Caenorhabditis elegans: one gene and its partners. The protein of the gene in region 2 interacts with the protein of the main gene of each other region in a pairwise test. Each region holds a gene or a part of one and is shown on either strand. Other genes may lie near its edges. The genes, in order: Y38C1AA.7, F27C1.4, prx-5 and cup-2.

Region 1 (7,469 bases), on a different chromosome or scaffold from region 2:
ATATTTCCGAAAATTGGCCCGAAAGCACAATGCAAAATGTTTTTTTAAAAAATTGACATTGGGCTCGGGCTCTGAGCAATTTTTAGGAGCTCAAAGACTCTCGACTGTGAAAATTATGTAAATTCCAAACTGGATATATGTAGCTCATGGAAGTAGGTGTAGAAAAAAGTAAAGAAAGCGTGTATATGTTGAGGAAGAGCACCTCAAAATGTAAATGAAAGGAATATTCTTTTGTTCTTCTGGGGGAGCCGTGTTAGCACTTGTCAGCTCTCAGAGGGAGAGCCACTAAAAATAATATGCACGGCAGCCACCGGGAAGGACGCATTCAGACGCATCTAATCAATGTATTGTTCTTGAGGTAAGAGTATATACTACAACTGAGTATCAATGCGGTAATTACTGAAAGATGAACATGTCGGAACGTGAGAAGAGCTAACGAAAACAATAGAGAGTGAGATGACTTCGACTTTTGGAATTTTTGGACGAATGCCACTTTTGGGAAGTAGATTGAGACCTTGTGTATGGAGCCTTACACGGTTTAGGGTCGTTAGGTAGTCATAAATTAGAGACATTGGAATATGAATGCAATGTACCAAGTTATGTTGTTATTATAGGCCTTTTACAAAGGTTATTGCAGCCGCTATTACTATGACAGGTGGTACTATTACAACCTTAGTCTGTAGAGAAGTAAGTATATTTGAGATTTTATCTTTGTTTTGTTTTGAACAATTAAGGATTTTAGGTATATCTGTGAAACATAAAACACACTGTATTTTTAATCAATATTTATTTACAAAGCGGTCAAAAACATTTGTTAGTAATTGCTCATAAAGATATAAAACCCCTTATATCGGAGTTTGACAGCGTTTTCCAGTGTATCCAAGGTTACAGAGACAAGTCAGCTGGTTAGTGGTTCCAAAGCACAATCCATGTCCGTTACAGTCGCGAGCCGAGTCGCAAACGGCTGAAAATAATCCACGTAGGGGTTGGAGGCAATCTAGTATGAAGGCAGATAGATGCACCTGCCGATTAGTAAAGCCTTAAAACTAAAAGATAAAACCTTACTCTCTTCACAAGTCTTTCCAGAAAATCCCAATTGGCATGCGCAGAGGAATGTTTTCTTTGTTCCGAGACAAGTTCCACGGTGATTACAGTCGATGGCTCCGCAGGATTCGAGGCTTGAACGGGATAGGAGACTGTTCTCTTCTTCTTCACGTTCTCGAGCAGTTTCTTTCAGACTTTCTACCTGAAAGTGGTCAGAATCAAAACTTGAAATGTTTCAAACATTTTCAGAGTGTGTAAGAAATCTTCAATTATTTTTTTCAGAAATTCCAATTCAAATTCTAGAAACTTTCTGAAATTTTCACGGGATTTTAAAAATTACCAGCTTTCCTAAAAGTTTACAGAAAATTCTTTTAAAAAATTCAAAAACGTTTGGAGGTTTTCAAAAGATCCCTAGGTTTTAACTTTTTCTAGGAGTTTTTTTTTATTTTTAAATTTTACCAGAAGCTTCTAAAGCTTCTAAAAATGTTTCAGAAATTTTCAAAAGGTAAAAAAAATTCAAGCAGTTTTCAGAAGGCTCTAAAATTATCTGGTTTTTTTTCTTCTAAATTTTCCAAAAGACGTTCTAAAAGCTTCCAGGTTCTTGAGCTTCCAGAATTTTTATAAATTTCTAGCACGTTCTATCTAGTTTTATACAGAAGTTACTAGAACCTCTGCAGTGTCAAAAACTTATCAGAAAAATTTAAATTTTAAATTTTGCGCCAAAAAAACCGACCGCCTTGTCGAGTTCAGCCTTCACTTCCTCTTGAATATCATTTGCATCAACTTCCCTCTTTTTGTCAGTTTTTTCTTCGGCTTCCACATCTAAATAAATTATTTACTGTGAGGTAGAGAAAATAAAATTTCAAAATAAAATTATCCAACAAAAAAACTAGATAACTTTCAATTTGAAAAGTTCGTAAGTTCACTCCGGGAGATAATTGATGTTGAAAAGGTATTTGATATACGATCCTTTAGTAATTGTAATACATCAAATAACTGGTACACGTCATTTCGAAAAATAAACCATTGAATTACCTGATTCTGAAAAATTTTCTATAAAAATTTTTGAAGAAGTTTCTGGAAGCTAAACGATTCTAAAATTTTCCCGATTAGAAAAGAGGATCTAATAAAGTTCTAGAGGATTCTAAAATATTTTGAAGTTTATTGAAAATTTCTAAAAACTGCCAGGTGGTCTCTAGCAATGTTGAGAACTTTTTTTAAAAACTTTCTGGACTGTCCTAAGAAACTAGAACATTCTGAAATTTTCTGATACTTCTTGGATTTTTTTGGAGCACTGTGAAAATTCCAAAAAAATTCTGAAACTTTCTAAAACTTTCTGGGACTTTCCAAAATGTTTTCTAAAAAATTCTAAAAAAATTCTAATATTTTCTTAACTCATCTTTATTATATATTTTACCTGAAATTTCAACTTCTCCTGAAATTGTCTTATTTCCCACATCGTCCACTTCAATCACGTGCACTTTTTCGGCATGAATCCACGTGACCAAGACCAGGAAAATTCCAAAAATTGTCGCGGAGGTTTTAACAAACATTTTTTTTATCTGAAAGTTGATTTCTTGGAACTTTTCATGATGACAATTGACAAAAAAGTGGTAGATATTATTCCCAAAACACTATACATATTAGAATACAAAATCTAAACAAAAAAATAACGACACAAACACAAAAGTAACAATTTGGCGTGGTTACGTAACAGTTTTGTGCCCCTATTCCACCTTTGCCCCGTGAGGGTGGGCCGGTTTTAGGGGGATAAATTAGGGAAAAAAGTCAGGAAGCGTGTCGAAATCGGCGAGATCCAAAAAACCAGATGATTATATAATAGGAGGGGTGGTTGTTTCGAGGATACTCTTTTGGTCAGATTTATTGTATTTTAGTTAGGCTATATACTTGATGGCTAAAGTAGTTCTGAAGATGGTTCAGAACAATAGGAACAATTGTCGAAAAGTTCCAGTTTCTAGCATTTCGGCTAGTAAATTGTTGGTGTTTAACAGTAACAAAATAGTAACTTGTGGAAAAAACCAACCGATGGAAGTGATTTCGTGAGCTACAAACTACAATTCTACAAACTGCAATTTTCACAGATTTCGAAATATAATATTACTATAAACTATACCCATGCAATCTAGAATTTTCAGATTAAACAAATTAAACCAAAACTGTTACGCGAGTTACAGATTGAATACTACCAATTAGAAATTAGAAACTGTAAACTACAAACCACAAACTACAAACTACAGACCTGAAGTTGATAACTATAGAGTTGAGACAAGAGACTGAAACGTGCAACTCCACTTCAAAAACTTTTCCTAACAACTGAAATCTATAAAGTTGAAGCTACGGAAGTGCAAACTACAAACTACAAACTAAACTATGAAAGCGTACCCAATACATTGTTTAATATGTCCTAGAGTTCCTGAAAATGGCAGAAAACTAGGAATTCAAAAATGGCCGTGAAACAAAAAAGTTATAATTTTCAATTTTTTAATTTTTTAAAGGGTTTTCAAAAAATAAAATAATTTCACGCATCGGCCCGACAATTCCCTATCGCCACGTTTAATCTGCCCCAGTTTCGTCCGTATAAAAGCTCGAAAAAATGTGAAATCAAATCAGTCTCTGCTCGAATCATCACCGATTTTCTACTCGCTCGACAACGATCTCTCGCAGCTACAATGGATCAAATCCCACCATACGAGTTCAACAAGTACGTGCTCTACGTCCGTGGTGCCGTCATCGTCTGTGCTTCATTTGAGGTATGTTTGGGGATTTCTGGGAGGTTTTGTAAAGATCTCGCCCTGACCAGGTCTTTCCTTGGGGATTTTAATACAAGCGTAGAAGATTTTCTGTGTGGGCAATGAAGGGTAATTGCCGGTTCGCCGAATTTCCCGATAATTTGAAAACGGCAATCTGTCGGCTTTGCCGTTTGTCGGAAAACTCCATTTTCGGCAATTTTCAGCATTCCGAATTTTCCGTTTGCCGGTCATCCCTAAATGTAGCCTTTTTCATCTAAAACCTTTATAATTTTCAGCTCCTGTTGGTCCTATTCGGTTCCCTCGAAGATTGCAACTTCCTTGCTAAGCTCTTCTACTTCATCTTCCTTGGCGGAGCAGTTGCCATCTCAGCTCACAACATTGGTCTCAACGTGGATGGTCGCGAGGAGCTCAACAAGGTTCTTTCATCGTCAGAGAATGAAGTTCGTGGAAAGTCTGCTGCCTTGATTCTGGTGCCAGCGCTCTCCGGTGTCCTCGTCTTCTTATGTGTCTCTGGACATGCATTCTTCTCGCTTTTCGTGCTCATCCATGTGCTCGCCGCCGTTGGACAACTCGGAATTGAGGTTTATGAGTTGAAGAAGGGACAATCTGGAGGTTCTGCACGAGGTGCTGCACCGTCAGCACAGGATCCAGCTGCTGCTCCACCAGCCCAATAGACGAAGAAAATAAATCTGATATAAATGGAATAAATTGGAGTTTTTATTATTATTCTCGTTCAGATTTTTGTTTTGTATTTTCTTGAGATCGAACAGAGGCTCCCTGAAAAAAACGTTACAGGTCAGCAAAATATTTTTCTACTTCCGCGTATTAAAGAATTCTTGTCCGAAATAGAGAGGAAGTTTCGTAACACGTTTCGTAAGATTTGCCGTATATCATCTCGCGTAGTTTCGAGCAATTCTAAAAAATATTGTCAATTTCCATTCAGAATTTCTCAGTTTCCTCAGTTTTCCTAAGTTATTTTCTTATCGGACTCCTTATCAGTCGTCAATAAAATGGTAGGTGCTTACCATTTTTGCATTTTGTAATTTTCTGTAGACATGTCTTTGTGTCGCACATTTTTCTGTGTGAAGTGTTCACAATTCTTCGGTAAGTAGCAATTTAATTAAGTTTTGTTTAACTTATTAAACTTGGTAATATATTGTAGATATTTCATTAAAGGTGGAGTAGCGCCAGTGGGGAAATTGCTTTAAAACACGCCTATGGTACCACAATGACCGAATATCATAATAAAAAAATTCAAAAAAATTTTCCTGATTTTATATGATTTTTTGAAAATAGCAAAATTCTCAGTTTTTGCCTAATTCCTATTTGAATTTCCGCCAATTGAATTTGTTCGATGGAGCGCGCTTGCACGTTTTTAATTTAATTTATTTTATTTTTTGTTATTTTCCACCAATTTTTAATGTTTTCGGTGTATTTTTGCTCGAATTTTAGGGAAAAAGTCAAAATAAATGCAAATTTTCGATTAAAAAGCACGCTTACACGCGTAAATCAGTTAAATTAATTAATTTAGGTTCGAAATCGTTTAAAAGCGTTTCTTTTTCATTTTAACGCTTGTAAGCGAGCTTTTTAATCGAAAATTTGCATTTCTTTTGACTTTTTCCCTAAAATTCGAGCAAAAATACACCGAAAACATTAAAAATTGGTGGAAAATAACAAAAAATAAAATAAATTAAATTAAAAACGTGCAAGCGCGCTCCATCGAACAAATTCAATTGGCGGAAATTCAAATAGGAATTAGGCAAAAACTGAGAATTTTGCTATTTTCAAAAAATCATATAAAATCAGGAAATTTTTTTTGAATTTTTTATCATGATATTCGGTCATTGTGGTACCATAGGCATGTTTTAAAGTAATTTCCCCACTGGCGCCACTCCGCCTTTAATACGATGTTTTACGCCAAACTAAATCAAAATTTTCTAGATGAATCAAATCAACAATCTCGTGTTGGAGTATGCAAACATTCGGTTTGTGAGCAATGCTTTGACCGAAAAATGTCTCCGAATTGTCCGGCTTGCAACAAAATAGACGCTTTTAAGCATACAAACATTAAATTTCAAGCGATCGCAATTTCGGATAATCTGTCAGATGAGCCGGTACTTTCGAATTTGCACCGTTACAAACATGTGAGTTTGTATGTTCTTTCTATGATTTTATAAACCTAACGTTTGAGCGTTTTATTTAAAATTTCTAAAGAAATCCTTGGAAAACATACTTTGCAAGCTTTACAGCCAAATTTGGGCATATAACAGAACTGAGCAAGGCTTAACTTTTTGCTTTAAGTCTGACCACAGCCATGATCGGGTTCAAGTCTCTTATCATCATTCGATATTTTTCAGGTTAACTCAAATAGTTCTGCAGAGCAAGTTAACAATACCCGGAATCGTGCCACATTCTGTAACGATGGAACTCACAAGACACACAAAATCTCCGTGATCGAGAATGTTATCTCATTTCTGAAAAGAATTGAAAGTTTAAACACGCTTTCAGTGATCTCGCCTAACATGACTTTATTCAAAAGTACAATTCAGTTTTAATTGAATGTATGTATGATGAACTGGAGGTGCCAGCGAGCAGGGCTGAGCGGCTGGCTGATTTTTTCGGCTGTCGGCTGGCCCCGCCAGCCGACAACGTATAGTTTTTCGGCTGTTTTCCGGCTGGCAGCGAGTTCCTTCTCATGGACACTGCGTTTGAGTTTTGCGATTTCCAGAAGATGATAACTGTTATATGCAACTGCTCAAGACTACGTGGATTGAGCATATGTTAGATTTTGAATTATTATCTAAGACATGTACTGTTTCCCTTATTGCAGTTTTCCCTTCGTTTGAAACACAATTCGAACATTTTTTCTTTTCATTCCTATAAAATATAATGTTGTTCAATTTGGTTTTGATTTGTTATTACTTTTTAATTGAAATAGCAAGATATTTAAGACATAGCAATAATTACTTGTATTGTATTCAATTTATGACAGTTTATTTCTTATCGATATATTCTCTGTCATAATAGCTATAGCTCATAAATCGGCTGCGCATTTATGTATAAAAATCAGACATTGTACGGTGAAAAGAGTTATTCACAAAAAATCTAATGCTATATCGTCAGAGAAAACAAACCGACCATGTTTTAAAACATGAAACGAATATATATATATATATATATATATATAATGTATACCTCAAGGTGTTTGGCGGTATGTTATGCTGTAAGGAATCTGTTTTTAAAAAAACGTTCACTTTCTGTTTCGCCTTTCGAACTTTCAAATATCCATAACTTAGATTATTATTTTAACGTTTTATGCGTTATTCATCTTTTTTTTTTCTTTTCTTTCTGATTGTCCGTTTCAAATTCTCTAACACTATTCCATTTACATCTAGTCACCACCCAAATTTCAGTGAACCACAAAATTTCAGAAATATCGATGATATCACATTGTTTGTTCAGCGTATTACTTATCATTTAATAAAACACACATAGACATTTTCAACCTTTGTTTATTTGTTTCAAGCAATGAATATTGATTTTCCGGTTTTCTCATATTTTCAGACTTTTTTCTTTTTTTCTCGGATTACATTGATTATTTTGCCAGTTAATTGAAAAGAGTTTTGGATAAATATTATTTTCACCAAACTTTTT
Region 2 (7,084 bases):
TTCAAATCTCCGATTCCAACCATAAATTCACATTCATCACGATAAAACATTGCCACGTTCATGAGATTCTTGTACTCGACACTGTTTTCATCATGGAAATATCCAATAAATGTGTTCTTTTCTGGCTGAAAAATATACTTTTTTAGTTTTGAAACCTTCTTTTTGCCACAATAGAAAATTTATTTTGGTTTTTCAAATATTTTCAGTGAAACTCACATTATGCGCAGCTTGAAGTGCATTTTTCTCAATAAACTTCTTCACTGTAACTTCCATTTGTTTATTGATGAATTCGCTAAGAGCCTCCACGGATCGGGAACTTCTGAAATTCAAAATTTAAAATAATTTTTTTGAAAAAAATAAGTGTATCGTCAATAAAAAAAGTTGTGTAAAATTGCAGCCTATAGTGCTAAAATGTCCTAATATCATAGTAAAACAAATTTTTGAAATATCTTAATTTTTAGTTTCACATATTATAATTTTGGAATTTGACCAAAAAAAATTTTCTCAGAGTGTAGAGGTGTAGAGGAGGAGAAGGAGGAGGTGTAGAGGTTAGAACTCTGCACATTTATTAAAAGTTCGACAGTTTGCCAAATCTTTATAAGAAAATTTTTGAACAAAATTATAAATTTTTATATATTTTTATTAACTTTAAATTTAAAAAAAAAACAAATTAAAATTAAGCAACTAACCTGTACTCTCTTTTCGCGGCTTCTCCATTTCTGAACAACTTCAGAGTTGGATATTTATTAACATGATATTTTGTGGCAATGTCGTCTGAATTTCATAAAAATAAATGAATTATTCCAATTTATTACTCACTGTTCTTATCAGCATCCACTGAAGCCCACATAATCTTGCCCGGAGCCGCATCTTTGAACTTTTCCGAAGCTTCCAAGAAAATGGGTTTCAACATCTGCGAGAAGCGGCACCAATCTGCGTAGAAATTCACGAAAACGAGTTCATTTGCTTCTGAAACATGATAATTAGCATATTTTCCATAGATAGTTGAAGACAGCTCACGAATAGTTTGCTCGAAGTTTTGTGATGTCAATGAAACAACTTCAGCATTCAGTAGAGCCGGACAGAATAGAAGTAGGGATAACCACCGCAGCATTTCTGAAATTTTTGTTATTCGATTTGAGAATTTATAGGGAATTTAAAAATGTTTAAGGCAAATGTTAAGAACATTTAAATGATTTTCCAGCTGTAAAAAGTATGCTTATCAACCGATCTATAGGAAAACAAAAAGTTCAAGAGTTTCTTGATTGGTCTGTTTCAAAACGAATGTTTTTGATTGGTTGTAAACGCATATTCATCATCAGTTAGTTTAGTGCGGAAAATGGCGTTTTGCAGGGTTTAGAAAGGGTAAGACGTTGTAAAACATTTCTCAAAACATAAAAATCAATGTCTGAATGCAGCATATTCAAATTTAAAAGAACGGCAAAAGACACGTGTACTTTTTGGCCAGCATTGGTCACACAAACCGCCCGGGGTATTAAAAATAGTGGAAAAAGTGTTGAATTATAAGAGACACAGACGCTGAATCAGAAGAGGCGCAGGGTGAGTGAGTGAGCACACGGAAAAGAGCAAACGAAAAGTGGAGAAAAAGCTGACTGGCGATGAGAATTGGGCGTGGATGGGGCAGCTTTACAAACGATTTTTCATGAGAATACTGTGTGCTTGTATCTCTCTGAGAGCATGTGCCATTCCGTGCTGATCACCGAGATTCACTTCTTCTTTCAAAACCGAAAAATATAAATTTTTGTTCGAATTTAAAAAAATCAAAACCTTTTTTTTTTGGTTAAAACTGAACATCGAAAAAAAAAACGTTTTGGGGTTTATTTTCTCAAAAATAGTGAAGGTGCAGGTTCTTGTGAGAAATTTGTCAGAAAAACTTGTTGTTGCAGTGTTTTCAGATTTTTTTAAACCAAATTTTTCGTTTATTAAAAAATTGAAGTATGGAAAATTTTTTTTTCAAAATCTTTAGTGGTTTTTAACCGACAAAAAATGTTTTTAAAAATAAAAAAAAACAATTCTAGAAAATATCTGGAAAAATGAAGAATAGTTCAATATTTAATGTTGATTTTAATGAGACATGATTAAATAGAGAAATACCCTAAAAAATTAAATTTTAAATACTTTCGAAAGCGAAAAGCAGACATTTTTTTGAGATTTTTATTTCAAAATTTCAAAACTTTGGGTTTCGTTGCCAACTTTTTCAAAATATTATTTTAACAACAAAAATTATATTTTCAAATTTCAAATAAATTGCTGGGGATATCCACCATAACGAAAAAACTGATTATAATTGAATTATTTTTTAAAAAATTTGTTTTTCATTTAAAGAATTACAGGAAATGTAAAATTGAGAAAATAATGAGAAAATGGTCTCAATTAAACTTTCACCGTAAAGAAAACATATAAAATTAACAACAACGAACATTTCAGGTGACACTTCAAAGAGAGAAAACCAACAATAAAGTTTTTTTAAAAAATCAACAAAAAATTAACAATTCTTCCAATTATTCTCCGAGTAGATGCTTCTTGTTGATTGGACGAATAGCTCTTCCAGCCTGAAAATATAAATATTATAAATAGAGAAATTTTATTCAAAATTTGTGTCTAGTAACTCATGAGGGGAAAAATGTGAAAATAGTTGGAGAAAAGAAGTAAGAGAAGGAGAAGAAGAGCATTTCACAGCTGAGTGAGGAAAAGCTGTCCCTAGAAGCAACACACACATCATCGATTTTCTTTCGAGCTTCAACAATGTTTTGAAACATTTCAAGTTCTTATCAATGTAATAGGAACGTGTGAAAACCCAGCAGAATGTACGGCGCCGAACGATGATTTTGAATTACTTTCAGTCAACAACTCGATTAGTTTTAGTGACTCGTCATGGTGTAAACATATATTTGATGTTTTTATTTCTTTCTAAATAGATTCTAACAATTTTCAATTGCAAGTTTTGTTGGTTGATTTCAAATAATTCCAATATTTATGATTACTGTAATGGTTTTTTGGAAGAGGAGACAAGATTTGCTGTAACACAGGGATTACTGTAACTAAAACGTCTAGAAAATTGCTCCTCTTCAATGATAATCTTTAGAAGTTTTCTTGCTATTTTTAAAAGTTATTCAAATTTCCTCGCTAGCTCACTGATCTTCTTCAATTAATACAGGTGTGAGCCAATCCAAATATGTATTCTCTTGTCAATCATTTTTCGTCATTCTTTCTCCGATCTATATGAACACCCACCAACCTCTACACAAAAAGATGACCTGCACCCGTTTGGGAGCATTCGGTTTCCTGCGTCTCATTCTAACCAACATACACAATCTATAATATGACTCGTTCTCTCATAAACGTGAATAGAGAGAGAGAAGCAGCGCGCGCGCACACATCTAAGGGGAGGGATTGTCCGATACGAGAAAAGAGAAAGAGACATAGGAAGAACGTAAGGACAACACAGCGTTCCTCTTCATCTTCTCGTCTTTCTTATTCTGTTACTAGTCATTAGTTGCCATTCGCATTCTGGTGGTAGAAAGAGCACATCGGAGATATATCTACTTTGTCTCTTCATTTTCTTTTTTTTCCGTAAATATTACACCTAGATTCAAAAAATCTAGGCAGATAGTACACTAGGATAAAATACATGCACTTGATTTAAATTTTTATGAAGTCAATCCTGTTGTAAATCCTACTCCGTTCGAACTTTCACTTTCATTCTTTTTTCCTTCCGTTGCCGGTCTAACTTGTCTCTTTGTATATATTATTTTTTTTCAGAAAACTACAACTAAACAATGAACTCCATCGTCAATGGACTCTACACCTTCATGTCCACAACCGTCGTCCCAGCAGTCACAGAACAGGCAGCGAACCTTGTTGGAGGAGCTTCTGCACTTGCCGAAGGAGCAACACAGGCTCTAACACAAATCAGTCAGACTGCTCTCGAGTGGGGATCTGGCTCAGAGGATGCCACGGCTTCTTCTGAAGTCTTCTCATGGGAGCAACAAGGGGCGGCGGCGGCGTCGTCTGATCTTCAAGAGGATAAAAAGGAGACGACAGAGGATGTTCACCAGGAGGCGATAGGAGCATCGTCACCAAATACATCGATCGAATGGGAAGTGATCCATGAGAATCCAGACGAGACGGGTCCAATCAGGCACAATCAATTTGAGATGGTGCAAAACAACTACGAGTGGATGAAGAATTCCAAATGATCTGGGATGAACGAAGAAATCCTATACATGTTCGGGTCTATTTTAATATTACTGTCCAATTTATGTCATGTTTTCGGTAATATTTACCGGTTTTCACAATGTTTCACAATAAACTTTCGTACGTGATCAATTCTACAATGTCCTTGGCAATAAAAACTACTTCAGACAAGAAATTTCAAAGACAACAGGGATTTGAGGTGTTAGAAATCATGGGCAATACTTAATGTAAAAAATCTATTAATAACAGAATATCGAGCTTCTTATCGGTTAATTTCGCAACCTATTACAACTCGAACAACATTCGCCAGTTTGCGTGTTCATTTTTGCATATTTTCTTGTTAGAACAGTGTTTGTTTGTTTTTATAGTCTACTTTTTTTTTAACGAAAAAGGGAAAAGCTTGTGACATCAAAATGAACTCGTCACATGTGCCGTTCGGTTCCTGTCTCCCGTGCCAGTGCATATATATGCACAGATGATAGATGTTCGCTTATATTTTGTGACATTATACACCTTTCTAAATATTTTAAAATCGAAAAGAGCTGTCTCAAATGTAAAAAGTGGTCCCTATTCCGAAATTATATCAAAATCAGTTTTGAAAAAATTTATTGTGAACAAAAGTTGCAAGAATTTTTGAATTTTTCTTTCGGCTGAAAATTCGAAATATTGTGCAATTTGATTTTAAAAAAAACCAAATAGTTGCATATGATTTTAGGGGAGCATATGCAAGGTTGCACTGAGTCTCATAGGGGTACTGTATTTTTTTATCTCTAATTCTCTAAACACTACTACTACTCGATTCTCTAATATATACAGTTTCTTCTTTCATTATTTTCGATTTACATTTTTAAATAATATGAAGATTTTAAAAATTGTATTCTTTAAAAACTTATCGAAACTTATTTCTAAACCAAATTTAAAAAGACCAACTCTCAAAAACCTATTATATTGATCCATATTCTGGGACTCTATATTGTCTCTTCTCTTCCTCTACTATGTTGGAATAATAATCAAATGGTCTCGTTAGCCGCCAGAAAGTTATTGATTACAAAGGTGTATACTGTTACATCAGATCGAGCGTTTTTGTGCACAGTCACGCCTATTTGGCAGCCTGCCATACGTTGGGTGTTCAGTCGTCCGTCGTTTTTTTTACCTAGGCTCTATGTTCTTAATTTCTTCTATGTAGTTTGATTTCCATATTACCTCGATTTCGTAACTATCCCTTTTTTGGCACAATAGATTATGAAATTGCGTGTTTGTTTCCTCAGCCCTTCTATTCATATTTTCCTTATCTAAAATGACTAAAACTTATTTCATTTTCAGAACCACAAGTTCTCAAAATGTCTTACTTCTCCTATGCAACCTCCATCTGGAATTCCGTATCAGAAATGGTCACATCTGCAGCTGAAACCGTCGGAACACTTGTCAACGCGGTTACTGAAGACACTACTCCAGTCGAACTCGTAGAGGTTCCACAACAAGAAGAACCAGCTGTACCAGAGAAGCTAGAGACTTTAGAGCCTGCAGAGGTGGAAGCATCTTCCAAGGAACAACTGGACGAGAAGGAAGACTACGATATGCTCGATGATCATGCTTTGTATGTCATAATGTACGAGTACGCTCGAGGAATCACCACGGAAGAAAACGTTTTCGTTGATTTGGAGGAATCGTTGCCATGTCATTGACTTCGCAAGATCTTCGTCTAGTTCGGATGATCAAAACTAATTATTTTTAAATTATTCATGTTTTCCCTACTTATAACCACTTCATCTGTTGTTTTATCAACTTTTTTTTTGTTTGAAACAATTCAGGTCCAACCCATCACACACTCCCAGTCCAATGCCTTTCTTTCCTTGTTTTCACTCGTTTTTTTCCACTGTTCACGGTTCTCTTCTCCTTCTCTTTGTTTCAACATAATTTTCATGTTCAATAAAACTGTAAAATATAATAAAGCTTACCTCAACAACAACCGCAGGTTTGCACAACTCATCTCGCATCTTCTCCATATTCCATTCAAGACCCAACGGTTGTTTTAGCACAGCCTCATAGTCTTCAACTCGGGAGTAGGGGAATGGTAGAGAACGTGGCTGGATCTTTCCGATACCCTGAAAGCTCATTTTTGCAATTAAAAAATCTAGGAGATATATCAGGTGCTTACATCCTTAGCCGTCATATTTTCAGCAATAATTACTCCGTTTCTCTCTCCGTCCCTTCTTCTCTTCTCTTTTGCTTTAATCACAAAGTTTTGGCGTCGCTTCTTCTCAGTCATTCCTGGTCCAACCCATGAGCCCCATCCGGCCAAATTGAGATCTACATCTTTAACTTTTTCCTTTTCTTTCACTCCTTCTTTCATATCTTCAAAATCTCCAATGACGTCATCATCCTTGAAAGCTTCATTGATAACTTGAGCGGCTTCTGCAGGAAAAAATCGTTGGAATATAGTTAATAAAAAGAAAAAAAAAGATTAAGCTTACCTTCATCAAACTGATCCATTTTCTCAACAAAATCCGACGAAACTTGTGTCAAGTCGTTTGTGTTGAGCTCTAGAAATTTGCTCGGATCGATTTCAATTTCCTTTTGTCGTTTTTCAGCGGCATGCACTCCAGCTGAATCCACTGCCTTTTCCACTTTTTCATCAAAAGTTTCTGCACGTTTAGCCTCCATCTTCGGATCATAATTCTTATCAACATATGATACTTTTCCAATTGTTCCTTTTCTCGCTGACTCCTTCGCTTTTAGTAGCTTCTTTTTCTTCTGCTTTGCCTTTTTCGCATCTTCTTTCTCTTGCCAAGTGTCATCGACGTCGAATAGAGGATTTTCACGTGATGCACCAGTATTCGCTGAAATACTTCGAGTTATAGCAGCT
Region 3 (8,596 bases), on a different chromosome or scaffold from region 2:
ATGAAATTAATTACGTTATTAGAAAAATATTAAACTTTTCCAAAAAAAACTCACCCTGTGGCGGTGGTTTTCTGCTCAATATCACACTTGTGAGCTGCTCGTTTTCCTCAGCATCCGATCGGCAACAGCAGCAAATTGTCCCGCCCATGTGATGTTCGGTGCAAGTGCACTTTGATGTAGAGTCCTGCATACTCCGAATTGTCTTTAGCTTTCGTTTGATAGTTAGACTGAATATTGTTAGTAGCGAAGAGTACCATTGTGTATAATTTTCAAAAATTGTTACCACTACTATGAACATTTTGGTTAATGTAAAGGTATGAGGGGCTCAAGGAGTTGGTCATGGTTAGAGTGTGTTAGAGAAAGAGAGTGGTTAGATGAGAAATGACAGGAGTTGAACACGGCTTAACTAAGTGCGAAGTACCTGTACGAACATTTTTAGACGTACGGTTTTCTCAATTTAATATAATTTCAAATTAAGCTTGAAATCTTAAATCGCTGGCACCGTTCAGCTAACAGTTCTTGGAAGGAAATGTTTATTTTACAGAAAATCGATATGCAAAGCACATGCACTTTTTCTAACAAATTTGGGTTGGAAATTATTTAGCCTTATAAATATTCATTTTTACTATTTTTCAATGTTTTAAAGAACCAAGGATTTTTGAGCGTTAAAAACATTGTTGTAGTCTATTGCGAGTTGCTATGGTGCATAAAATAGACTTATTGAGCACTGCAACGCTACACACATTTTCGCTTATTTACACTGCAAACAACTCACAGAAAAGGTTAGTAGAAAATGAACGAGTACTGATGTGTTCAGTTTTTTGAAAAAAACAAAATTCTAAAATAGGGACACAATGTTTTATTGTCACGTGGTAAGAAATGTTTGAATGAAAACATTAAATGAACAATAGGACGTAGGTTGAATGGGGAACAATTAAGAGTGCAGGGCAATAGACAAGGAATGGGAAATGTAGGGAACCTGTGTGGATTAATTTATATTGAGGAAGGATATGAATCATGCAGTTTGGTTAAACATGTGTATTTATACTTTAACTTCATAAAACATAAAGTATCTAATTTCAATCTTCTAACTATATGCTGTGAAACTGTAATCAAAACCATTTTGTAGAAAGGAAACTATAATGGATTTCAGAGTACTTTTTTGAGATTTCAGATCTGATCAATGGGAGAGTTATTTTCCAACTAAATAATAATTGAAAAATGAATGATCAAGACAATAAAGATGGAAATTTAAAAGTAGTCAGTCAACCACATAAGTTGATAACACTATCTTGAATTGTTTCAATTCCGGGAAAAATTAAAAATTTGAGCGTTTTCCAGAGGGAAATACCTCTACAGCCAGGTGGAATACGGAAAGAGTTGCGGAAAGTGAGCAAACATCTCTCTTGAATTATCAAAGCATTGTATTGACTATTGGGAGAATAGTGCACTCTGAGATCGCTGAGTGAATGAACGGTCACTTTGATGAAAAAACAAGGAAGTATTACTAGATGTGTTCTTTTCAAAGGTAAACTGTGAAAATAAAAGTTGCGCCGTGTGCACAAACCTATATGCTTTTCAATCTATACGTTCTCAAGTCTCCCATAACTTTATGCTTTTTTGCAAGTTTTGGCCAGTTTTTCCAATTAAAATGCACTAGATGATTTTTTAAACAATATGAGTTTATTATTTTTTAAGAAAGAATTGGCTGCTTCTAATCAATGCAAAACATACAAAAAAGAGAAAAATCAAACATCACAACTCATTTATGTAGTGTACTCCCCATGACTCGCCTACCAACTTGACTGTTTGTCCAAGAAATCGACAATTTGTCAGGTTAAAAGACAATGGGTTAATGTCTGGAAAAGTGTCAGATGATCAGGAATTTGCTCTCGAGGAGTTTTCAAAACCGTAAAGCGATGTTTTCAATGTTGGAAATAGTGGTTCTAACTACAAAATTTATTTCAGTGAAATGAAATTAAATAAATATTTGACTATTATTTATTGGCTTCTCTTCTCATCCGGATTCGACGATTTTGGAACCAAATCTTCACCTGTAATGTGCTACGTCTCGGAAAATTATTGAATGATAACAACTGATTTAAAAATTTTTTATTTTTTTCCTAGATTGATCTAATCACATCTTTACAACATACAATCGGATATGTTAGACTTAACGTAGAAGTTGCTGGAGCTCAGCCTGGTGGATAAATTTCGCAAACAATTTTAATAGAGAATAGATTTCTAAAAACAATAGAAACCTGATATTCATCTAGACTCAAAATCCTTGCCAATCTTTCCCTTTCATCACATCCAACATACTGACTTTGTGCAAAATACATTTCGAGTAAATATAGTTGTTCCACTGTAAATGTGGTTCTTCTACGTGGAATTCTGGAGGTTGAAGCTTCTGGTCTAACCATCATCAGTAAGAATGTAAAGACCATTTCGTGTTTCATATTTATGCCGTCAATTGTCAGTACAAGGGGCCGCCCGTTTTCGTTTCGTTTCGTTTAAATTATAGGGAATACATTATAAAATCACACCTTTTGTGTATATCTTCGTAGTTTTATTGGACATTTTAATAGGCCTTGTTTATAAAAGAAAATATAATAATGATGACATTATACAAAAAAGTATTCAAGGAATGTTTTATAGTTACAAAACCTATAGGTATACAGAATATGTCAAAATAGGGGAAAAAACTGAATGTATGCAGTCGACGAATAAGGTTGTCTTGACATTTTTTTGGTTAATAATGTTTTTCCTGCCAGTTTCGATATCTTTGAAATTTTGATCCAGATGACATCAATCCTAGCTATGGAATAATGGGGGAACTCTCTTTAAATTCACAACTTCATTCGAGCAAAATTTGTCTTTTGCACACGAAAAATTATTATTATTATTGCACAATCAAATATTTTTCCCCCGTGCAAGTGTGCAATGGGGCGACGGGTCGAGCCAGAAACCCGTGTTGTTGAAAATCAAACCAAGTGCAAAATATCCATTTTGCTTAATTTAAAACGATCTAGGATAACTCCACTAGCAACTAGAATATCTAATTGAAGGATTGAAATTTGGAAACTTACAATAAGGTATTCTATTTTATTACGTTTTCAATCTTGCTAGGAAAACTTGGAAAAAAAATCCATAAACGTTTCCCGGTTATTTCAGAAATCGATAGTCGACCTCCGTTGTTCCTTATCTAAATTTCATCAATTGTATCCTTTTTGATAAGACAATACTATCTTTTTATCACTACGTCTCCTTCACTCTAAATCCTAATGTAGTATCAATCAATTTGATGAAAAGACTACACTGGGGCCCACTTATTTTCTTTTTCAATCAAAATTCACACTTTATTTTATATATTTCTTGTAAATTGTATTTTTCTTCATTTTTAATTCTACTTTTTTTCAACAATTAACTCTCGAATTCTTCAATTTTTTACAGAATGAAAGGAGTTGTAGAAGGACAATGTGGACAGCAGAATGCTCTTGTCGGGTTAGCTAACACATTTGGAACATCCAATCAAAGAGTCGCTCCGAGTAATGGTAAGCTGGAAATATTCAAGTAAAAATTAACAAAAAAAAAAGTTTTTAGCTGCAGCTTCTCTTCTCCCATCTTCTTCTATGGGAGAACAAATGGCTAATGAATTTTTAAGACAACAAGCGAGAACAATGGCTCCAACAAGTTTCAGCATGAAGTCGATGCAGAATAATTTACCACAGGCATCAGCATCCTCAAGTTTGGCAGCAAATTGGACAAAGGAGTTTCAACCGCGACAGGTATTTCTAATGCATTCATATATTGGTATTTTCAATTGATTGCTTCAGAACCAGTTAGCGAGTCAATGGAGTCAACAATACACATCTAGTGCTCCAAGCATGGAATCTGCATGGCGTCAAGTTCAAGCTCCATCAATGACATCCACGTCATCACATCAACCAATAACAGATGCTGGTATGTGGTCATCTGAATATCTGGATACTGTGGATACTTCTTTAACCAAATCTTCTGGGACTCAAAACTGGGCTGATGATTTTATGGAGCAACAAGATAATTATGGAATGGAAAACACTTGGAAAGATGCACAGGCTTTTGAACAGAGATGGGAGGAAATTAAGAGAGATATGGAAAAGGACGAATCTCTTCAAAGTCCTGAAAACTATGTTTATCAGGTAAGATTTTTGTCTTCTTTAACACATTTTTATAACCCTCCTATTCAGGAAGCAAACCCTTTCACAACCATGTCAGATCCACTGATGGAAGGAGACAATCTAATGAGAAATGGAGATATTGGAAATGCCATGCTTGCCTATGAAGCAGCAGTTCAAAAAGATCCTCAGGATGCACGTGCCTGGTGTAAATTAGGATTGGCTCATGCTGAAAATGAAAAAGATCAGTTAGCAATGCAAGCGTTCCAAAAATGTTTGCAGATTGACGCTGGAAACAAGGAGGTAAAATTTGAGAAAAATATTTGATTATTTGATGCCATAAAATAGATAGGTCGCGATAAAATTCATATCTGTCTCTTAAAACTTTTTAAGAACAGAAATTAAGAAAAAAAAAAAAAAACTTCCAATAAAATCAAAATTATTTCAGGCACTTCTTGGTTTGTCTGTCAGTCAAGCGAACGAAGGAATGGAAAATGAAGCTTTACATCAATTGGATAAATGGATGTCTTCTTACTTGGTATTTCTTATTTTTATTTCAAGAATAATCCCACACGAATAAATATTTTAAGGGTTCAAACTCGACTCAAGTGACAACCACACCTCCACTCTACTCTTCATTTCTGGACAGTGACACTTTTAATCGAGTTGAGGCTAGATTCTTGGATGCTGCTCGGCAACAAGGAGCAACTCCAGATCCAGATCTTCAAAATGCTCTCGGAGTTTTATACAACTTGAATCGCAATTTTGCAAGAGCTGTCGACTCTCTCAAGTTGGCGATCTCCAAAAATCCAACTGATGCTCGTCTCTGGAATCGTCTTGGTGCTACGTTAGCCAATGGTGACCACACAGCTGAAGCCATTTCAGCATATCGAGAAGCTTTGAAATTGTATCCAACATATGTCAGAGCAAGATACAATTTGGGAATATCTTGTATGCAATTATCATCTTATGATGAAGCTTTGAAACATTTTTTATCTGCATTAGAATTGCAAAAAGGAGGAAATGATGCATCTGGTATTTGGACAACTATGAGGTTAGTTTATAGCTTTATATGTTAAAATCACCTTCACAAATTTCAGATCAGCAGCAATCCGAACATCGAATGTCCCTGACAATTTACTGAGAGCAGTGGAAAGACGAGATTTGGCAGCTGTAAAAGCCTCTCTAGTCTAGAATAATTACAATTTAAATACTAAAATAAATAATTATTTTTCCTCGAATTTTTTTACTTGGTTTTCAAACTTTCATTTTGAAAATCTCAATTTCAAGCCGATCACGAGTTTGGAAGGGTCATAAAATGTTATTACAGCGGTAAGAAAGCAGGAAGTAAACCGACCTAGCACAAAAAGTGTTCAGCTCATTTTGTTTTGTTTGTAGAACTCACATTGTTAGAGCTCAATGAAATGATTGAATAATGCCTAAATTAAAATAACATTCTTCAAGACTTCTAGACACTAAGTAATCAAATCCTATCATTTCTCTTACGGTGAATTTCTACAAAATGCTCAGAAATTCCACATGAGTCACCGTTCCATGAGTAAAACCTCGGAACATATGACTGATTCTATTTATTATCATCTTTCCGCCACCCTCTTCCAAACGTCTCACTCTTTTCTATTTGCCGGTCATCGAACACATTCTTCCTTTTCTCTTTCTGTCTTTGAAGCACATGACATGGCCATTTATCATGAAAAGGTACAGCTGGTTGAAGAAGAAGAAGATCCGAGAGAAACAGCTCCAATTGAGAGGAGCACAGTCACAAGTTTTCTCTTTCTTTTTTCCTCTCTTCTATCCAAAACATCTTCAATAGCTGTAATATTCCCCTGGAAATCTTAGTTCAACTTGTTCTTGATTTATGATTTGTTGGCTCAATTTATCGATATTTTATTTTGTATTCTCTCTGTATCAATGTCATCAAGAAGAATTATCACAAAATATAGAAGTCACTGCATCTGATTCTGCAGCAGAACATGAAGTGTTTGAAGGAATATCATCAAATGTGAGTTTTGAGTTGAAGATTGCTTCTAAAGTTTAAAACTTAGTTATAGATTGCTGGGAAAGGAGAAAAGTTAGAAGAAGAAATAGATAACATTGGTATTGTAATGCAACCAGAGCCACGAGTTGTCCATGAAGCTTCCGAAGTATCAGACAACATTGAACTTAATATCAAAGACGACCTAAACTTGAAAAGTAGACTGGACAACTTCACAAGAGCTAAATTCAGGCAATCAACCACCGTAACACCTAATATTGTTGCTGTGGAGCCTTCTATTGAAGGTGTTGAAGACGATTTAGATCATGATGAACAAGGTGAAACATTTAGAATCAATTTAATATTTTTTTCATATTGAACTCATTAGATGTAGACGATTAACCTGTATCATCAGCATGTTTCAGGAGAACCAGAAGACAGTGAAATTCGAAATCGGAACGAGCACCATTTTGCTGAGTTGGGCGGAAAAATGAAGGAACGCAGGGATCATGTAGATGATCCCGATATTCAAGAACCATTGAATAAGCCAATATCGGCTATTCCAGAAGAGACTTCAAATTCTGCAACTATTCAATATGAAAGAAGTTCGTCTGGAACACAAAACCCGCAAACTTCTTTAAATATTCCGACTGCTCAGAATGTACCAAAACTAAAACAATTAAAAAATCAAGAGATTCTAAAGGATCATTTTATTTCGGAAGTATCAGATGTTTCCAACGTTGCAGATGTTTCAGCGCCTATTGTTATTAGTCAAGTACCTGAAATATTGAATGGAGAACCCGCAGGAGTACCTGCCAATTTTGAAGAAGAAGACAAAGAACGTGTAGAAGAAGAGGAAGATCGCATCAGTTGGGATCTTATTCATTTTCTACTTTTGTTAAGTCCATATGAAGAAGGTGAAGTTACTTGGTGGACAATTGTTCTTGAAGCCGTTAAGGTTAGTTTTTGATAAAGTATAAATATACGAAAATATTTTAAAAATTCAGTGCTCTCTTCGAAGTTGTCATAATTCATCATCTCACTGGCATGATAGATCTGTGTATCTTCCGAGAATAACTCGACATCGTCGTCAAGATTCAGACTATTTACCTGGAGCACTTTCTCCAACAACACCAAAACCCTGTTTGTGCAACAATTTAGAGGTTGATATCAAAACGTTATTATTAATGATTTAAATTTTACAGACTTATTTCGAAAAACTGTATGAATCAGTTGGGAAAAAAAAGAAGGAAAAGAAAATATCAAATTCAACAACGAAATTTGTATAAAAATTCCGTAAATATGTACGTAATTCAATAAAGGTTCAACTTTTATACTATAATTAAACAAACAAATACAAACTATTTCTGCTTCAAAAATCTATATTTTCAAAGAATAAATAGCTGACTTACTCATGAATCTGAGAACAGAATCAAAAGTAAATGTTTTTGGAAGTTCTCAATCTTTTTAGAAACATAACAATCAAACGTATGTTCTAAAACGATTTAAAACCTTTAAAAAAATTTATTAACTGATTCAATTTTCAGATCAATGAGTAAATGAGTTATTGATCGTTTGAACTCTGAAAATCCGATCGTCTTCTGCTTTTGAAGGAAGTATTAATCCACGTATCTGGCTATTACTCCAAAATAATATAACAGCAGATCTGAAACTTAATGCATTAAACATCAAAAAGTTATCGCCTACCCAACAGTAAACATATCAAACGCCAGAAATTGAGCAGTGAATAATAAATCAGATGACATGCAACTAGTGCAAAACGCATATAGAGCCTGAAATTTTTTGAAAAATTCAAATAATAACGGGAAAAATTATTGCGAGCAATGTCTAAACATTCATACGTAGACTTATTGAATATAAGTAATTTAATTTGATTGAATACGTTTTTGACTGAAAATCAAAGTATGATCATGTGAACTTCTTGCCTGGCTAGCTGCCGCTGCTAAAAAAGTGAGAGAAATATAAATATTTGAGAAACATAACGATTTTTCAGCTGATTTTATACGATCAGATAGAGAAATGAGCTTATAGAGAGTAACTGATGTACATATAAAAGTGAAAACAAGAGCTGTGAGGATATAAATTGATTGGAACAAAGAAGATGAAGCCTGAAATAAATTGTTGTTGCCTAGAATATGATATACAAATCTTCCAAGCTATGTATTAGAGATTCTATGTAATGTCTTGAAATTGGACGTACCCAAGGAATTGCTCTGACATAGCTTATAGCAAATCCACCATAAGATGGTAAAACGTAAAATCTTGGGGAAATAATTATATTCCAAGTTCCACCCAATGGAAGAATACATATTATCACTAAAGACACTTTGGTCAACTTACGCCATATCTGAAAACTTTGGTTTTTTGATACCATGTTTTTTTTTGAAAGTCGCAGCTTCACCTGGCCATAATAAGTTGGCATTAG
Region 4 (7,743 bases), 5.0 Mb from region 2:
ACGGTTTTTGAAATATAATATAGACTACAGTGGCTCCCTAATCCAAAGAAATTGCACTTTTCTCACAGAAGTTTACTCTTCCACTTGGCAATCTCGGATACGTGAGTTCAGAGACTAATCTTTTCTCTTTTTTTACATACTTATCGAAATAAAATGTCTAATAAAAAACATGTTTGCCAATAGAAAAAGACATAAAGAAAAGTGCCAGGATATCACTTTGCAAGTGAATCTGAAGTTTGAACAAAAATAAATTTTAACTTGGGGACTGGCACAGACTGTAATCCGAATGATTGGGGCAGCTTGTGCACTCCCCAGGGAGCAATTAAAAGTGACTAAAATGTTTTAGGCACAATTCTCTTTTTTTGTATTAAAAATACAAATCATTACCAATTTGTTTCTTCATTTTAGTGCTGAACTATACAAAAATTGGTTGTTTTCATTAAAGAATTTTTGAAAAATTGTTAGATGCAATAAGAAGTAGCCTATGTACATTTGATCTGAAAACTGTACAACCATCTACAGAAAAACGAATGTGAACTTCTGCTCGTAGAATACAAAAGCTGCGAAAACCGACATAGAGGCTCTATGGCTATGCCAATTTCTTGAATATTCGAAGTTATATTGCAACCTAGTACTACCTTGCTTTCAGACTACAGCGTTCTCCTTCACAATAAGAACAAATGTTTCAGAAAAAAGTGGGGAAGCACGTCATCATCATAATGATTGCTTGCTCCTCCCTCACATTGTTGAGGTGAGAAGTAGAAGATTGAGAGGGAGGAAAAATGAAAAAAAAAGAGAGAATATGTTGTCGGTGCCGATTCTATTCAATTTGCTTCCTTCCCTCCTTCTTCTTCTTCTGCTCTGGAAAAGGACATTCTGCTGCTGCTTCTGATGTCCTCGGCGTATATGGAACAATTATTAAACGGCGTGTGCGATTGGAAGGAACTTTTTTACAAGGAAAAATAATGCTAATACATTTTCTAGATGGATAGAGAAAGGGGACAAAAATGTTCCAATAAAGAGAAAATTTCTGAGTACGCAGTTACAATTTTGTAATTTGTGATGTGTCCATCAAACACCTCAAAAAATTTTGAAAATAGTCTTGAATTTGGTAGAAAACACTTGCAATTTGTTAATTCTTGCAAATATGTGTATTTAAATTAAATTGATGAATATCTCGTCGCGATCGTATTCGAACCTACAGTATATCCTACAACTTTCAAGAAGCGTGAATTTATGCTAATGGGTCTCACCGCGAGGATATTTCGATACTTTTTTTTCAATTTTCATGGATAAATTAAACATAATTATTGTAGGAAATATATATAATTTCAACAAACATCGCAAAAATACAGTTGCCGGTCTCAAAACGACTGAAATCTGCTAAATGAAGATTGCGAAAATGAGTGTGCGCCTTTAAAGAGTACAGTAGTCTTCCACTAGCTGGATTGCAATCTTCTTCGATTTTCCCTTTGTTATTCTACTTTTTTGTACATTACCTCTAAATTTCCCAGTTTTTCATTATTCCGGCACAAATAAAAACGATTTTTAGTGAGAAAAACCAGACAACCAATCGGGAGTGGAGTACTGTACAGCTCAAAGGTGCCCACTCAATTTTACAACTGCAGAAAATTGAAATAGCAAGCATAGTAATTCTTCACAGTACCTATTAATTTTGTTGATTGTTTATTTAAGAAAATGTTTATTTACTGAATTTTGGAGCTTTTAATATTTTTTCGAGTGGCTTCCGACAGCTGTTCTATAGTAACACTAGCGTTCTATTTTCAAATCTCAAAAGCAACAAATCAGTAGAAAAACAAAGAGTTTAGAATAATACAAGAAGTAGAGTTATCCTTCTTCTCTTTCTCTGAAATGGGCCATTAGGTTCAGCCGTCGTTGGAAGAGTTTGTCGTGTCCTCTTCTCTCCGACAAGGCAATTTGTTATCCCTTTTCTTCTTTCCCGCCCCCCGTTTTTGACATACTTATTTTTTGAAACTTTATGTGTAGAGCAACAGACGACAACGAAAAAGACAAAAATTTGGCGGCGACAAAAGAAAAGACGAAAAGGCGCAAAAAAAAGGTGACAACAAAGACGAATGAAGTAGGAGACAGAGTCTTGAGTCGTGCGAAGCTTTTATTCGATTCTGGCTGTCGCATCCACTTTGATCTCATGCTTTCTGAATTATATTATGATGAGCTGAAACAGTACTTTAGATGACTTTTTATTCGTATCTTCTTATTTACATGCGTGATACAATGAAACTGACTCGTGACTGATGTAATTTGGATGTTTCCCAATAATTATTTTAGGGGCAAGGCAATACAAGGAAAAAGGAAATAAATTACTAAATATAAGCACAAACTGAATGAGAATCACAATTGTTAATTTCCTCCAAGTCTAGCTCCAACACCTCCTGGCCATTGGTGTCCACGTGGCTGCTGTCGTGCTCCTCTGATGTTTCCATCTTGACCGTGAATACCTCCGTCTTCGTCAGGAATCAAACGATGCAAAAATTCAGGAGTGGAGATCAAATCAACGCCGTATTCGTCTGGATATTTAAGAGCCACAAAGAAATAGGCATGTCCAACCAGAATTCCGACAAGTTCGTTGGTTCCACCACCACGGAGAACGGCATTGAAGCCCCAGAGCACCCATGGAAGGTAGCGAGCTGGGAATCGCATTCCAAACCAGAACGATACAATTGTGTCCTTGTTGACTTGGCACCAGACGTAAAGTACTGAGATCACCATCGGTTCGAGAAGGAAGTAGATATCCAGAGCCATGCAAAGTCCCTGCAAATTAATTATTTCCCATTTTAACACATTTATCTTTGATTTTTAAAATTATGCAGGATATTGCAATGTTATTTCCTTTTTTTTGAGCCAGCTTTAACATATTTTAAATTATATCTTCCAAAATTCGCATTAATAACTCGATAAAAGAGAACATTTAAATATAAAAGTTTTGGGATTTAAAATTTTTTCAGGATATTTTTAAAACAAAGATTTAAAACCGTACCGAGCAGAAGAACCAGTTGAAAATGAGCATGAAAAGGTAATCCGCTGATCTTCCGCGATATGTTTCACTTTCCAATGCTTTTGAATAGTTGTAAAGAAAATAGCACATCATCAGCCAATGGAATCCCGTCTGCGGTGTGACTGGATAATATATTAACGCTGTCAGAGGCCTCCAGAACTGAAATGTTTAACAATTAGTCTTATATAATTTCTGGACAAAATAATAAAAGTGTACCTGGAACTTGTTGACTACGAGATCCCATTGTAGAAACATCCATTGTACATTGATGAATCCGAATCTACCGAGAAGCGGTATAATTGTGGATGCGAGGAACCAATATCGTGTCACAATAGGGATCCCGAGAAGGAAATTTTCTAAATCCATCTGAAAATGTATTGATTTGCAGTGAAATATTGAAAAGGACAGATGAAAAGAACCGTAGAGAATAAAAGCTGACGTAGGATAAGGAAATACATACGCGTGTACCAAATTATCGATTTTTCTTTAACATGTTGAAATTTATGTTTTTCGCGCACCAAAATTTTTTAAATTATTATCAGGTTAATATTTCTGTTCGATTTTAAGGTATCTATACAATAATTGAATTATTTCAAATGAGAAAAATACTTTTTTTTTTACTTTAAGCAAAAACAATGGAAATCACAATTTTCTCCTTTAAAACGTTTTATTTTCCTCCGATAAAAAACCATTCTCAAAAATTCTTATCAATAATACTTAAAACGAAGTATTTTTTGTCATTTATGATAGTGTAATTTTCAAGACTTGCTTGACGCAGTGAAAACGCTTTGAAACCGAGGTTTTTATTGCTCAATTCCATGAAATTATGTTTAATATGTTGAAAATAAATATTTTAGTGAAAAATATACTAAAAATAAAAGATAAAAATGAAAAATAAGAAGAAAAAGAGAAGCATAGCAACGCTTTTCCACGCCGTCAATGCACTCTGGCGGGCAAATCGCTTCGAGACCCATTGACCGTACCCCTCTTCTCTCGTTTAAGTGAACGTGTCTTAGTCGGTCACACCACACACATAATTGATCGATTTGACGCTGAATTGAGATGGAATAAACAAGTTTTGCCACCTGTTCCATTTCCTTCAGATTTATTTGCAATATCTCAATGCTTTTTCTCCGCCAAAATTATTGATTTTTCCTTTAAAACCATTTAAAATGCACAAATGCCGCCCGTCTCGTGACTTTTCTCTATTTTTAAGTCGTTTTATGGCTTCTTATCACATTTTCCTTATTTTCAGAAGAATGACGGAAGATATCAACGTTGTGCCAGAACAAGTGTCACCATCTGATGATGTGGAATTGACGATCCGACAGGCGTACCAGGCAGAAAGCGATCTGAAATTTTCGTGTCCGACAAGTTGGACAATCAAAGAAGTCAAGGAGCATGTAAAGAATTGCCTGAATAATCATCCGGTGAGATTATAAATTCTGAAAATCCATAAAAAATATTTTGAATTGTTTTAGGAAGTTGTCACACAACGGCTGATTTTTTCTGGAGCTTCTCTGAACAACGAACAGGTTTTGGCAGACGTTTTAAGAGAAAGGTGAGTATTTCTTGACTGTTAATAAAATTCTGTTATAAAAATAAAGAAAATTTCAACAAAGATGGAAAATTTTGCAATTAATTATAAACTGAAATTATTTTAGAAATCATGTCGCCGGTGAACAAATCTTCTTTCATTTGATGATCGCACAACCATATCAACAAACAACTCCAACTGCGGATGTTCGTAGAAGAAATGTAAATAATACTGCATCAAATCAAAAGTGAGTTTTAACGTTTAATAGATATTTTAATAATTATTTGAAAATTATGTTTTTTTGCCGAGAAAATAATATTTTTAATTTAAAAAACCAAGTTAATTTTCAGTTCGGCATCGGGATCGGCTCTCAATGAATATGCTCAGAACATGGTTGCCTGGCAACAGTACTGGAATGCCTACAATCAACTGTCTCCGGAAGCTCAAGTTTCCGAGCATCAGCGATTAATGGCTCACTACTACACATACGCATCGACAACTCCCGCTGCACCAATTTATCAAGTTCCCGCCAACCAACAGCTTCAACAAAATGCAGTGGCGTGGAGAATTCGAGTTCAAGGGGTGGCCGCTCCCGCTCGAGCCAACGGAAATCAAGGAGCTGCAGCGCCAAGACAGGGAAGAGTTGACATTTTGGAAGTGGGATATCGAATTTTCAAAGTGGTTTTGCTATTTTCTGCAATTCTTCTCTACTCGTCATTCGAAAGATTCGCTTTAGTTTTATGCTCGGCACTATTCATTTATTTCATTCAACTGCGACGAAATCACGCTCGCAATAGAGTTCAAGCTCAGGCTGCTGCCGCCGCTGCTCAGCAAGCAAATAATCAAGAACCACATGTTAATAACAACAATAATGGAGAGAACGACGGAGATAATACGGTTGGTCTAGAAAAAATATTTTATTCATTATCATGTACCATTCCAGGCTCCAACCACGGAAGGAGAGACACCAGCAACTTCCGATGCTCCAGTGGAACCACCAGCTCCACAACCAACTGGTATGCAAGTGTTCATTGCCACTTTATACTCATTTGTCACCTCCTTCTTTGCATCACTTGTTCCTGATCATCCGATGCCGATGGATCTGAATTAAATCAACTTCATCATCATTCCACATGTATTCATTCTAACTTTATTTTCTTATTTGAAGCCCCTTGAACTTTATCAGTCATTTGGTTATATTCTCTCACCGTCATCCCTCTTCCACTTCTCCCGATGTATACTGTACAACTGAAGGGTCCTTTTTCTTGGAAAATCTGACTTCCTTTACACTAGTTTCACACCGTCTAGACACTCTTTTTTGTGTATATGTATCTTAATATCGAAGTTTCTTCTACTGCGGGTCTCCCCACTCTTCCCCTTTTCTCTTTATTTTCGAATAAACTTTATTACGATTTGTTCAGAACCGTCATCTCCCTCGACGTCGATTATGCACGTTGGAAAGGACTGGTCTCCTCTATCCCTTCCATTTTTTGACCACTGTCCATTTCTGACCATCACTTGTCTAGTTTTTCCTCTTTTTCCTCAAATCGTCGTCATACTGTTCGGGTGTCGTTTCGTACACACTGGTTCGATGCTTTTGTTGGAAATAGTATTGATTCATTAGCCTTTCGGATATACAGCATAAAGGTCAACTAAAATATCTTGTAGCGAAAACAACAGTATTTTTTTTTAAATAACTACTGCAGCACTGATGTCGATTTACGGGCTGGATTTTCGAGTTTGACAGCGATATTAAATGTTCCTCTAATGTTTTTGTCATTTCTATGTTTTTTATATACATCATCAAAAAATGGCAAAAACCGCAAAATCGGACCAGCGTTATTTACAGTAATCATTTAATGAATTACTGTAGTTTTCGCTACGAGATATTTTTCGCGTCAGACCACAAAACCATTTCATATTAAAACAACAATAAATTATTGATTTACCAACACTTCTGATCCATAATAGGTGATCAGTGAAACGAATTTTATCAGTTTTTAATTAAATTGAGAAATAAAAGATTGGAGAATAGGAAAACTTGATTGGGTACTTTAGAAAGGGCAAGCTTTTCGGATAATGGTTTTTAAATCTTTGTACAAAGATAAATGACATTTCTTGTGTGAAAATAGGCCTAGACCGGCCTAGAAAAGTGTGTCCGCGTGATGGTGGACGTGGAGCAGTGTGCAGTAAACCAAAATTCCACATATTTTGGTTTTTCACTCAAAAAAATTACAACGTCAGAAGAAATACATTTCAATAACTTTTAAAAACTATTTTTCGATAAGATTCATTCGCTCCTAATTATGCTAAATAACCTCCCAAAGTCTCAAGAATCGGTATTGAATAAATCCCTGTTTTAAACTTCACCGACATGAATATTTGACCTCATTCCCTTAGGTTTCGTCATATACGAAAACCGTCTAAGGTTTTTTCCATCCACTTTTTTCCTCAATTCTGTCGTTGTCATCGTCCATCAAATTGGCACATGCGTGAGGTATCCCCTCTCATCTTATTCTTTTCGTTGCGGGAGAGTTGTTTTGTATTCCGAATGACCTAGTTGCCAGTAGATTTGAATTGAGAGAGAAATTGAGAGAGAAATAGAGAAGTAGAGATGGTGAAGGAGGTCCCGGGTCGATGGCGCCAAGGTCAATTTGATCTACGTTCGTCTGGGCCTCTCGTCTCGTTTTCGATTGTTTTGGTGTTCGGTTCATAATATGATGAGAACCAAACATTTAAAATAGGAATGTTCACAGCTTGGCTTCATTTGTTGAATAAAATTGAACATAGTTCCTAATCTGAAGTAACAAAAATAAATTGTTGATGTCTGATTCTCTCACGCACGAATTTAGGAAGTAAAGTAAAGATGGAAAGTTGACCTAAATGTCGGATTGATGTAATCAGACTACATTTATACATTTGATACCGAAACTAAAATTACCTTCTCTCATTCCCGCCTGCCTTCCGCCTGGAAAACGCCTTTTGAAGAATATGAAATGCTGATAAAATCAGAATAAGTACGAATAGTATCACCTTTACGACAATATTAACTCTTCGATTACAGGTTTTTTATATAGGTACTGAAAAATATCCGAAGAAAGTTAGTAAATTACAATACGGATTGAACTTCATAAAACTGAACTTCAGTAGATTTTTAAAGAGGAATTTG

What was found.
Region 1: the proteins of F27C1.4 (region 2) and Y38C1AA.7 interact in a two-hybrid assay, tested with the Caenorhabditis elegans proteins (one large-scale study listed by BioGRID).
Region 3: the proteins of F27C1.4 (region 2) and prx-5 interact in a two-hybrid assay, tested with the Caenorhabditis elegans proteins (one large-scale study listed by BioGRID).
Region 4: the proteins of F27C1.4 (region 2) and cup-2 interact in a two-hybrid assay, tested with the Caenorhabditis elegans proteins (one large-scale study listed by BioGRID).

The regions. Positions count from the first base shown.
Region 1 is NC_003282.8:155,294-162,762, forward strand, and holds Y38C1AA.7 (DUF7087 domain-containing protein), read left to right. Parts: upstream 1-3,668; 5' UTR 3,669-3,734; coding exon 3,735-3,815; intron 3,816-4,090; coding exon 4,091-4,489; 3' UTR 4,490-4,543; downstream 4,544-7,469. Other genes in the region: gegf-1 (EGF-like domain-containing protein), read right to left, coding at 846-964, 1,066-1,246, 1,778-1,866, 2,462-2,597; Y38C1AA.19 (RING-type domain-containing protein), read left to right, coding at 4,871-4,919, 5,757-5,959, 6,173-6,370.
Region 2 is NC_003279.8:5,418,986-5,426,069, forward strand, and holds F27C1.4 (uncharacterized protein), read left to right. Parts: upstream 1-3,800; coding exon 3,801-4,220; downstream 4,221-7,084. Other genes in the region: erp-44.1 (Thioredoxin domain-containing protein), read right to left, coding at 1-125, 217-319, 690-774, 820-969, 1,021-1,116, 1,656-1,707; utp-14 (Small-subunit processome), read right to left, coding at 2,523-2,573, 6,177-6,323, 6,377-6,633, 6,693-7,084.
Region 3 is NC_003280.10:8,701,371-8,709,966, forward strand, and holds prx-5 (TPR_REGION domain-containing protein), read left to right. Parts: upstream 1-3,453; 5' UTR 3,454-3,454; coding exon 3,455-3,554; intron 3,555-3,603; coding exon 3,604-3,788; intron 3,789-3,836; coding exon 3,837-4,181; intron 4,182-4,229; coding exon 4,230-4,460; intron 4,461-4,605; coding exon 4,606-4,695; intron 4,696-4,747; coding exon 4,748-5,211; intron 5,212-5,257; coding exon 5,258-5,351; 3' UTR 5,352-5,390; downstream 5,391-8,596. Other genes in the region: sphk-1 (Sphingosine kinase 1), read right to left, coding at 55-298; Homeobox protein ceh-7, read right to left, coding at 1,998-2,054, 2,262-2,459; cup-16 (uncharacterized protein), read left to right, coding at 6,034-6,177, 6,227-6,488, 6,576-7,108, 7,158-7,313, 7,356-7,439; srg-15 (Serpentine receptor class gamma-15), read right to left, coding at 7,699-7,816, 7,858-7,943, 8,097-8,279, 8,372-8,518, 8,573-8,596.
Region 4 is NC_003279.8:10,396,775-10,404,517, forward strand, and holds cup-2 (Derlin-1), read right to left. Parts: upstream 3,404-7,743; coding exon 3,254-3,403; intron 3,197-3,253; coding exon 3,020-3,196; intron 2,794-3,019; coding exon 2,383-2,793; 3' UTR 2,216-2,382; downstream 1-2,215. Other genes in the region: tag-353 (Ubiquitin-like domain-containing protein), read left to right, coding at 4,297-4,467, 4,519-4,598, 4,702-4,821, 4,925-5,471, 5,518-5,685. UniProt on the Caenorhabditis elegans protein: Specifically required for the degradation process of misfolded endoplasmic reticulum (ER) luminal proteins.